2 linked regions of the Saccharomyces cerevisiae S288C genome follow. The main gene of each other region encodes a partner of the protein of the gene in region 2 in a complex. Each region holds a gene or a part of one and is shown on either strand. Other genes may lie near its edges. A codon is read from its position in the direction of its gene.

Region 1 (4,071 bases), on a different chromosome or scaffold from region 2:
AGACTTGAAAGACGGTTGGCCACAATGCGATGAAACGATTAACCAACTGGAGGAAGACAGCAAAATTTTGGTGTTAAGAACTAAAAAGGATAAAACTCCAAGATACGTTTGGTATAACAGCGGTGGTAACTTGAAATGTATTGACGAGGAGTTTGTTAAAATGTGGGAAAATGTGCAATTACCGCAATTTGCAGAATTGCCAAGAAAGCTGCAAGATTTAGGTCTAAAGCCTGCTAGTGTCGATCCTGCTACTATCAAAAGACAAACAAAGAGAGTTGAAGTTAAAAAGAAGAGACAAAGAAAGGGTAAGATTACTAACACTCATATGACCGGTATCTTGAAAGATTATTCCCATAGAGTATGAGGTTGTTTTGATTAAATCATTTTCGTTTGCATATTAGGTTAAAGAGACTGTGATTATATATACATGCACGTTAGGGTGCAGCATACAACTCAGCTTTATAGTCTACAACGTATTTATAACGAGCATTGGAAACAGGTTACAGGACACCAAAGGGTTTGGGTTTCCAATTTTGAACCCTTGACCAATTTTTTACTGGTGTAGCTCTGTTCTCCTCTTGTTTATTTTTTTTACCTACTGTTCCGAAACTGCTCATTCTCTGTTTCAAAGACGCCAAATCGCCTAGTATATCATTGGTATCAGCCTTTAATGCCGGACTCACTTCCTTCTTCAATGGAACGGAATCTTTTTCCGCAGGAATAAAATCATACAGCTTTATTTCACCTTCATTAAACCTTAATGATAAATTGTCTATGTTTTCCTTCAGTTTTGCCTCGATTTCCACTGTGCTATCAATTTGTTTTCTCCGTTTTTTGTTTCTCCATGAGTTACCAGTAATTTTTTCAGTCTCTAGTTTGGCCAGCATAGATTGGCAAAAATACAATATCAAGTATGACGCATTTTCATCAATAAGTTTCTCCCAATTTTGCCATTTATTTTTAAAATTTTTATTGTTAAGGTTATTTATAATAACATCTAACAGCCTTTTTTGTAGTTCTTTCCAGGCATTGAATTTCCTTTTTAAAATTGTCGTTATATTACTATCATCTTGTTGGGTTCTGTAATTCCTAGCTACCCACTCAATGACCTTCCAATCAAAATTGTTCAAATTAAGCATTAAAACTTTGAGTAAAAGTGGGTCATAATTGTTAAAAAATTTCTCAAGAACCACATTGTGATAAATGGATAATTTCCAAAGTTCTTGCCATTGACGCAAATTTTCCCTGATCATAGTTTCTGATGAACTTGCGTGTGAACTTTTCCTCTTTTCGGCATCATAGTTCACCAAATTATCCCCAGAAAAGTTACTACTTGTAATTAAACTATCGTTTGCATTCTCCCACACCCATTTGTATTCCAGAAACTCGTTTCTAAGTCGCTTCCATTTATCAAGTGTTTTAGTTAATGACTCCATATATTTCTCCAGTTTATCATTTCTTCTGTATCCGTAACCGGTATCATCATCATCGTCATCATCATCCCTGTCATCTTCTAATTCCTCATCGTTCCAGTAGTGATCATATAGCCAAGATAACGCTTCATTGGCGGCCCAACGAAGCATTTCTAATCCAGGTAAATCTCTCTCATGTGTACCCCAGTGTCTCAAATCAACAAACCAGGACGGCAGTCCAATTTTAGCAGCTAATGTGTGTAAGGGAATAGCGAACTGAGATTGTTGCGTTGGATCCAATAAGCCATTGACAAACCGAATCAAAGCCATTACATACGATAACCGGATAGGAATAGAATCCTGATGTACTCCTAAACACGCTTCCTTTTCGTCTAGCAATACCGCACATGTTATTTGTGCTGTAGAGTCCACCACGTGAGGTAAATATTGGGAACCCTTTAGTCGGTAGCTCTGTACTCTTTGCACTGCACGCTGTCGCTTATCTTCAATGGTTCCTTTGCTTTTCGGGTAAAACCAAAGTTTCAGCTCCTCTAGTTCAGCAAAATCCCTCCATGGAACGATTCGTGGTGGTATCATTAGATTGCCCTTTTTTCATTGCTTTCTAGAAATGACTTTTGTTTAAGCTAATTTAGGCATTCTTAGGTATTTTTTTCACTCTTTCTGCGACTGCGATGAGCTTATTAATCTTTCACATTCGGGTAATTTTTTGCATAACAATAAGTCATGAATTTATTGTTGCGATTTTGCAGTGTTATGAGTCTATGAAGAGAAGAAAGAAACTAGAAACCAATTGATACCAGACTTTAGTTGACAACTGATCTCATAATGGGATATGACTCCCAAGTTAGGACAAAAAAACGACATCGAATTACTGTAGTATGCACAAATTGCAAAAAAAGGAAAAGTAAGTGCGATCGAACGAAACCATGTGGAACATGTGTACGACTGGGAGATGTGGACAGCTGTGTCTATCTCACCGATAGCTCTGGACAACCTGAAAGCAGTCCTTCATTGAATGATGCTGACCCTCTGAGGAAACAATCAACTCCTGCGGAACGAATAAGTCCAGGTTTCATTAAGAAAAGAAGATCGTCACAGACAAGACAAGACGAAGATCACTGGCAAAGAGTACGAGAACTTGAAAATCAATCATCACTTTATTATCTACCAATTCATGAAGAAACTCCATTTTTTATTGACCTCATCCCTAATGGGTTTTATTTAGAGACCAAAAGGTCTGCTGATAATTTATTTGGTCTGTTCACGGATAGAGCAATTGAAAATCGCGACCCCTATCTCCAAGCAATGGTAACATTTAGAAGTATCGCAATCAAAAAAATGATGGATAAATTGGGAAGCAACGGCAATAATGTGAAAAATGGAAGCTTGCCTAAATCTTTCGAAGCTTTATCCACTTTCGATGCTGATGACGAACGCCACATTAGCGATGATGTTGTTGGTAAGGGCAATAACTTCCGCATGCATCAGACTATTCACAAATCATTGTTTAACAAATTCGCTCAATACAGAGAAAATAATGCTAAAAAATTCAGCTCAGAAACTATATTAGCAAAGGATTATTTGCCTCCTTTAAAAATACTTGAAAGTGAGGTTTTAGCACTTTTTGAAGAAAAAATTTACAATATGATACCGATTTTCGATATGAAAGTTTTGCGTCATGAAATAACGATATTTTATCAAAATATAGTCGAGAAAGGGAATCCAATTTCTATAAAACACTACGATCATATGGTTTTCTGCATAATCTTGTTGATTATTAAAATATGCCGACTTTCTGTCCAGTTTTCGAAGCTAACTCCATATATATACCCGGTTCTTCAAGAAATTGATACCTCTAAGTTTTTGGCTCTTGTTAAACACTATTTGTTCGAGACGAAGGTCCTCAGAAAATGTAATTTATTACAGTTGCAATGTCTCATATTACTAAGGTTCTTGCACTGGTGTGCCCCTGAAGATGGCGATGGACCCGAAACTCAATATTGTCAAATCTTAATGGGGACAATAATATCATCATGTAAAGAAATGGGCATTAACTGGTATTGCTTCTCTCATCCAGAAAAATATTCATTTAAAATAAACCGACATACGAGGCCTTCATACGATATAATGAAACCTAGCGATTACATTTCAGTTTTCAGAAAGATATGGAGTTATGTTTTATTTTGGGACAGGAAGATGTGTTTTATTAGCGGTGAAGAATGTCAAATTGGGAAAACCTTGCAGTGCCATTTCAAAGAAGAAGCAGATACACCCACATGGTATATACGAATGTTAACCCTGGATAACTTGATGAAAAAGATAAACGATACGTTGAACGATGATCCAGGAAAGGTAGATTTGAACTTGTTGCACCGACTAATAAATGATTTAAAAAGAAACTTTCATATTTTAAAAAGCCTGTCGAAAAACGAAAAAGAAACAATGCGTCATTTTGATTTCGAAATGGAATGGATAATAGATTTATTCTCACTAAGTTTGCTGCACGGAGAAATGATCTTTTATGAATATGACTGCAATATTACAAAATTTTATAAGAGTTTCCAAGATTTGTGGGATATGGTCATTCATATCTCAGAGAAGTGCTACAATTACTTTTTTAACAGTGATGCCTTAGAGG
Region 2 (4,435 bases):
AATACTGAGGAAAAACTAGATATTATCAAAACTTTGACCAAATCACACGGAACACCTCTGAGTAGCGATGTTGATTTTGAAGAAATTATCAGAAATGAGAAGTGCAACAATTTTTCAGGCGCTGACTTGGCTGCTTTAGTCAGGGAGAGTTCAGTCTTGGCTCTAAAAAGGAAGTTTTTTCAGAGCGAAGAAATACAATCTGTTCTTGATAATGACTTAGACAAGGAATTTGAGGATCTATCGGTTGGCGTATCTGGCGAAGAAATTATTGTGACCATGTCTGACTTCCGAAGTGCATTAAGAAAGATTAAACCCTCTGTGAGCGATAAAGATAGACTGAAATATGATAGATTAAATAAGAAAATGGGTTTAACGGAGGAGATGAAGGATGCGGAAGAAATGAAACAATAAATTTATAAATAATATTTTGGTAAAGTCCCTAGAAGTTAGTATGACTTAGATATTGAAGGAATATGAGTATACATAACAAATATATAAAACTTTGCATGATTTTTGTGTATCCTCTATCTTTCACTATTAAAAAATGTACGATTACCTTTTCTTTCTATCTTTTCATGAATTGGCCACGTCTCATGACGTTCTTACGAACTTTCCACACATGTTCCAATTTTTTCCTTCTTTCAAAAGTTGCGAACGGTATTTGTATATTATCATCCCATGTAATTGTGCGGGGGGATGGAAGAAAGTCACAAAAAGGAGTTTCCGTCTTATTTCTTACTATTATCCATTGAGCATCCTCAGGTTGTTTATCTAAAATCTGGGTATGGCAAGGTGGCACGTAAATGTTCATTATTTGCTGGGAGGTGTCAATAGAGTGTATCAGCCCCAGAGTTATGAAATTTTTAGAAGAAGAAGTACACGATTGTAGGATGGGAAAGGTATTCAAGGATTTCACCTCTAGTGAGTCTTCTCCAGAATATGTATATATCCCAATGACAGTACCTTCCAATGCGGACTTGATATCTTGAGGATTCAGATCCTGGAATTCCATAGGAAATTGAATGCCTTTAATACCGCTTTTACCTTTGCCATATGAAATTTGCAAAGGTGCAGATTTTAAAAGAGGCGCAAAATCATAATCAAATTGAGTTATTTTATGAAACAGTGCCAGTATTTTGAATGTTCTCAGTTGTGATGCATGGAACCTAGAAGATAAGGTGTGGTTCAGACTATGGGCTGGAACGCGAACAACTTCAGGTGCATATGCATCTCGTAGTGATGTGGAAAAACTCTGTGGAATTGTTAGTTCATCCAGGTGTCTTTTCGAATTAGCTGTTTCCAAAAACAATAAGTGAGTGGGCTTATATTTCCTTATTATATGATTTAAAATCTGCATCCCGAATCCTTTTATCCACCCAGGTAGATTAAGCAATGACGTTCCGAAGAAGGCTTGCTCTTCCAAATGGTCTATAAGTTTATCAGCGCAGTTCAGGTATGATGTGGGCTCGTCCTGCGGGGAAGAGGAGCCAGCGTAGAACTGTAACAAAGTTTGGAAATTTGAACCTTGGCAGAGATGTTGTCCGAGAGAAATAGGGCTGGAAAGAATCTTATTCAGGGATATTGAATCAGGTAGTGAGTATTCAGGTTGACCAGGATCTAAATCCAGGTATACCAATTCTTCCTGGCTCGTAGTAGAATCTCGTATATCTTGCGTAAATTTTTCCAATAAAAGCCTCAAGAATGTAGACTTCCCAGAGTTTTTACCACCAATCACCATGATTCTTGTATCATACGCAGCGTTCTTGTGACTCAAATATAACTTCTCTAACGGAGTTGACCAATATCCCGGCACGGATAAAGATTGAATTCGGTCTGACTCATGTAATAAATGATACGTTGTTCTCTCGTTTAATGGAAAGTAAGGTTCTTTAGGTTTCCATAGATAATTAACATCCCGATATAAATGACCTGCTTCTAACAAGCCCGTATGATTAGAATTAAAAACGCGAAGAACACATGGAAATGATTTGAATTCTTCATCTCTAATTTTAAACCTGTTGTTTCTCGGCATAAAAAAAGTGTCTTGCCAGCCTGCAAAGTGCGAAAAATCTATAGTAGGTATGGACTGTGATAACGGGTGCCAGAAGGTTAAAATTTCTCTCGAAGCGTTATAGTGTACATTGTTGTAGACAATACCTCCTTTCACCACTTGCAGCCGGAAAACACCAGATAAATGTAACTTCTGTTTTTCTTTCAACCCCACAAACATAGTTTCATCTTCATCTCCTTCATACGTTATATTATCGATCAATTCAGCATCCAGCCCGTTCAAGTCATCACCTTCGTCGTCCTCATACTCTTCACTATTGAGAACTACGGTTGCACTTTTTGAAGATGGAATTGACGGAGATTCCACAATGAAATTATTACTTGAGTCTGAGTCCGATTCTGAACCTGAATCTTTGGTATATTGAGGTAGATCCTGTTTGGAATCTATCACCATAGCGGTAGAATATAATAGAAATGATTATCTTCTTCTCTCTGCCAAACTAAACTGCAGTCTTTCCTTATTTCAGAAGGGAAAGATCAGGAGTGGGGAACCTATACTACCTGCACTATAAGCGTGAATTAAGACAACTTAAATGCAACCTAAGCCTTAGGCGCAGAGCACTCGATGACTTGGCAGGAATAAATTTCATGTTGATAAATTTCGTACTTTTTCGGGTAGCAGCGGTGAAAAATTCGTAAGGGCAATTTTAGAAAGATGCAAACTTTCCAAGAAATATTAAAGACCAAAACATAGCCAAGAAAGCCAACTAGGGAACAATGCTTTGTGCTATTAGTGGGAAAGTTCCTAGAAGGCCAGTTCTATCACCTAAATCCAGGACTATTTTTGAAAAGTCGCTCCTTGAACAGTATGTTAAAGATACGGGGAATGATCCGATAACAAATGAGCCCTTAAGCATCGAAGAAATAGTGGAAATCGTACCTAGTGCGCAACAAGCCTCACTAACAGAGTCTACAAACTCTGCTACGTTAAAAGCGAATTATTCGATTCCGAATCTGTTGACAAGTTTACAGAATGAATGGGATGCTATAATGCTCGAAAACTTTAAGTTACGATCAACTCTAGATAGTTTAACGAAAAAACTGTCGACTGTAATGTACGAAAGAGATGCTGCAAAGTTGGTCGCTGCGCAACTATTGATGGAAAAAAACGAAGATTCGAAGGATTTACCCAAATCCTCACAGCAAGCGGTAGCTATTACGAGAGAAGAATTTTTACAAGGGCTGTTACAATCTTCTAGAGACTTTGTAGCGAGGGGCAAGCTCAAAGCACCCAAATGGCCGATTTTAAAAAATTTGGAGCTATTACAGGCACAAAATTACTCCCGTAACATCAAAACATTCCCATATAAAGAGCTTAACAAATCTATGTACTATGATAAATGGGTGTGCATGTGTCGCTGTGAGGATGGTGCTTTACATTTTACCCAATTAAAAGATTCGAAAACGATTACCACAATAACTACACCAAATCCCCGTACCGGGGGAGAGCATCCAGCTATTATTTCCAGAGGGCCTTGTAATCGTTTGCTACTACTATATCCAGGTAACCAAATAACTATATTGGACTCAAAAACAAACAAAGTCCTCAGAGAAATAGAGGTAGATTCCGCCAATGAGATTATATATATGTATGGTCACAACGAGGTCAACACAGAGTACTTCATCTGGGCGGATAATAGAGGAACCATAGGATTTCAATCCTACGAGGATGATTCCCAGTATATTGTTCATTCTGCTAAATCAGATGTTGAGTACAGCAGCGGTGTCCTACATAAGGATTCATTATTATTAGCCCTTTACTCTCCGGACGGTATATTAGACGTTTACAACTTGTCATCACCTGACCAGGCAAGCTCTAGATTCCCCGTAGATGAAGAAGCCAAGATAAAAGAGGTTAAATTTGCAGACAATGGGTACTGGATGGTAGTAGAGTGTGACCAAACTGTGGTTTGCTTTGACCTAAGAAAGGATGTCGGCACGCTAGCGTATCCAACTTACACAATCCCAGAATTCAAGACGGGCACCGTTACCTATGACATTGACGACTCTGGAAAGAATATGATTGCATACTCAAACGAGAGCAATTCGCTGACGATATACAAATTTGACAAGAAAACAAAAAATTGGACTAAAGACGAGGAGAGCGCCCTCTGTTTGCAAAGCGACACTGCCGATTTCACTGATATGGACGTGGTATGCGGAGATGGTGGTATTGCCGCTATTCTGAAGACAAATGATAGTTTCAATATTGTTGCATTGACACCCTAAATACGCTGACACGTTTGTACTTTCTAAATAAACCTGTGTAATAGTAGTAACATTTCCAGTAAAAATTTCATTTCCTTCTCTTTTTACATCTCTAGGACAACGCTTTAGTGAGAAAAAAAAAAAAAGAAAAAAGAAT

What was found. The genes of interacting proteins can lie anywhere in the genome.
Region 1: the proteins of GRC3 (region 2) and LAS1 are in contact, whole or in part, in a crystal structure (PDB 7Y18), measured with the Saccharomyces cerevisiae proteins. Residues at the interface, in NP_013065.1 of Saccharomyces cerevisiae: Glu72 (codon at 2,251), Gly73 (codon at 2,248), Asp74 (codon at 2,245), Glu75 (codon at 2,242), Asp76 (codon at 2,239), Glu77 (codon at 2,236), Thr173 (codon at 1,948), Glu177 (codon at 1,936), His180 (codon at 1,927), Leu181 (codon at 1,924), Arg183 (codon at 1,918), Asn186 (codon at 1,909), Glu200 (codon at 1,867), Arg201 (codon at 1,864), Tyr456 (codon at 1,099), Asp457 (codon at 1,096), Phe458 (codon at 1,093), Ala459 (codon at 1,090), Pro460 (codon at 1,087), Leu461 (codon at 1,084), Leu462 (codon at 1,081), Lys463 (codon at 1,078), Ser464 (codon at 1,075), Ala465 (codon at 1,072), Pro466 (codon at 1,069), Leu467 (codon at 1,066), Gln468 (codon at 1,063), Ile469 (codon at 1,060), Ser470 (codon at 1,057), Gly477 (codon at 1,036); in NP_012989.3 of Saccharomyces cerevisiae: Ile2 (codon at 2,006), Pro3 (codon at 2,003), Pro4 (codon at 2,000), Arg5 (codon at 1,997), Ile6 (codon at 1,994), Val7 (codon at 1,991), Pro8 (codon at 1,988), Trp9 (codon at 1,985), Arg10 (codon at 1,982), Asp11 (codon at 1,979), Arg36 (codon at 1,904), Gln39 (codon at 1,895), Arg40 (codon at 1,892), Gln42 (codon at 1,886), Ser43 (codon at 1,883), Tyr44 (codon at 1,880), Arg45 (codon at 1,877), Leu46 (codon at 1,874), Lys47 (codon at 1,871), Gln50 (codon at 1,862), Tyr51 (codon at 1,859), Leu52 (codon at 1,856), Pro53 (codon at 1,853), His54 (codon at 1,850), Val55 (codon at 1,847), Arg94 (codon at 1,730), Asn97 (codon at 1,721), Gly98 (codon at 1,718), Leu99 (codon at 1,715), Asp101 (codon at 1,709).

The regions. Positions count from the first base shown.
Region 1 is NC_001143.9:560,289-564,359, forward strand, and holds LAS1 (rRNA-processing protein LAS1), read right to left. Parts: upstream 2,010-4,071; coding exon 501-2,009; downstream 1-500. Other genes in the region: transcription factor TFIIE subunit TFA2, read left to right, coding at 1-364; OAF3 (Oaf3p), read left to right, coding at 2,259-4,071. UniProt on the Saccharomyces cerevisiae protein: Regulates cell surface growth, bud formation and morphogenesis. May act indirectly by regulating factor(s) involved in these processes.
Region 2 is NC_001144.5:66,609-71,043, reverse strand, and holds GRC3 (polynucleotide 5'-hydroxyl-kinase), read right to left. Parts: upstream 2,465-4,435; coding exon 566-2,464; downstream 1-565. Other genes in the region: putative AAA family ATPase RIX7, read left to right, coding at 1-411; E3 ubiquitin-protein ligase PRP19, read left to right, coding at 2,788-4,299. UniProt on the Saccharomyces cerevisiae protein: Polynucleotide 5'-kinase involved in rRNA processing. Required for the efficient termination by RNA polymerase I and the processing of the IST2 pre-rRNA internal transcribed spacer localized between the 5.8S and 25S rRNAs.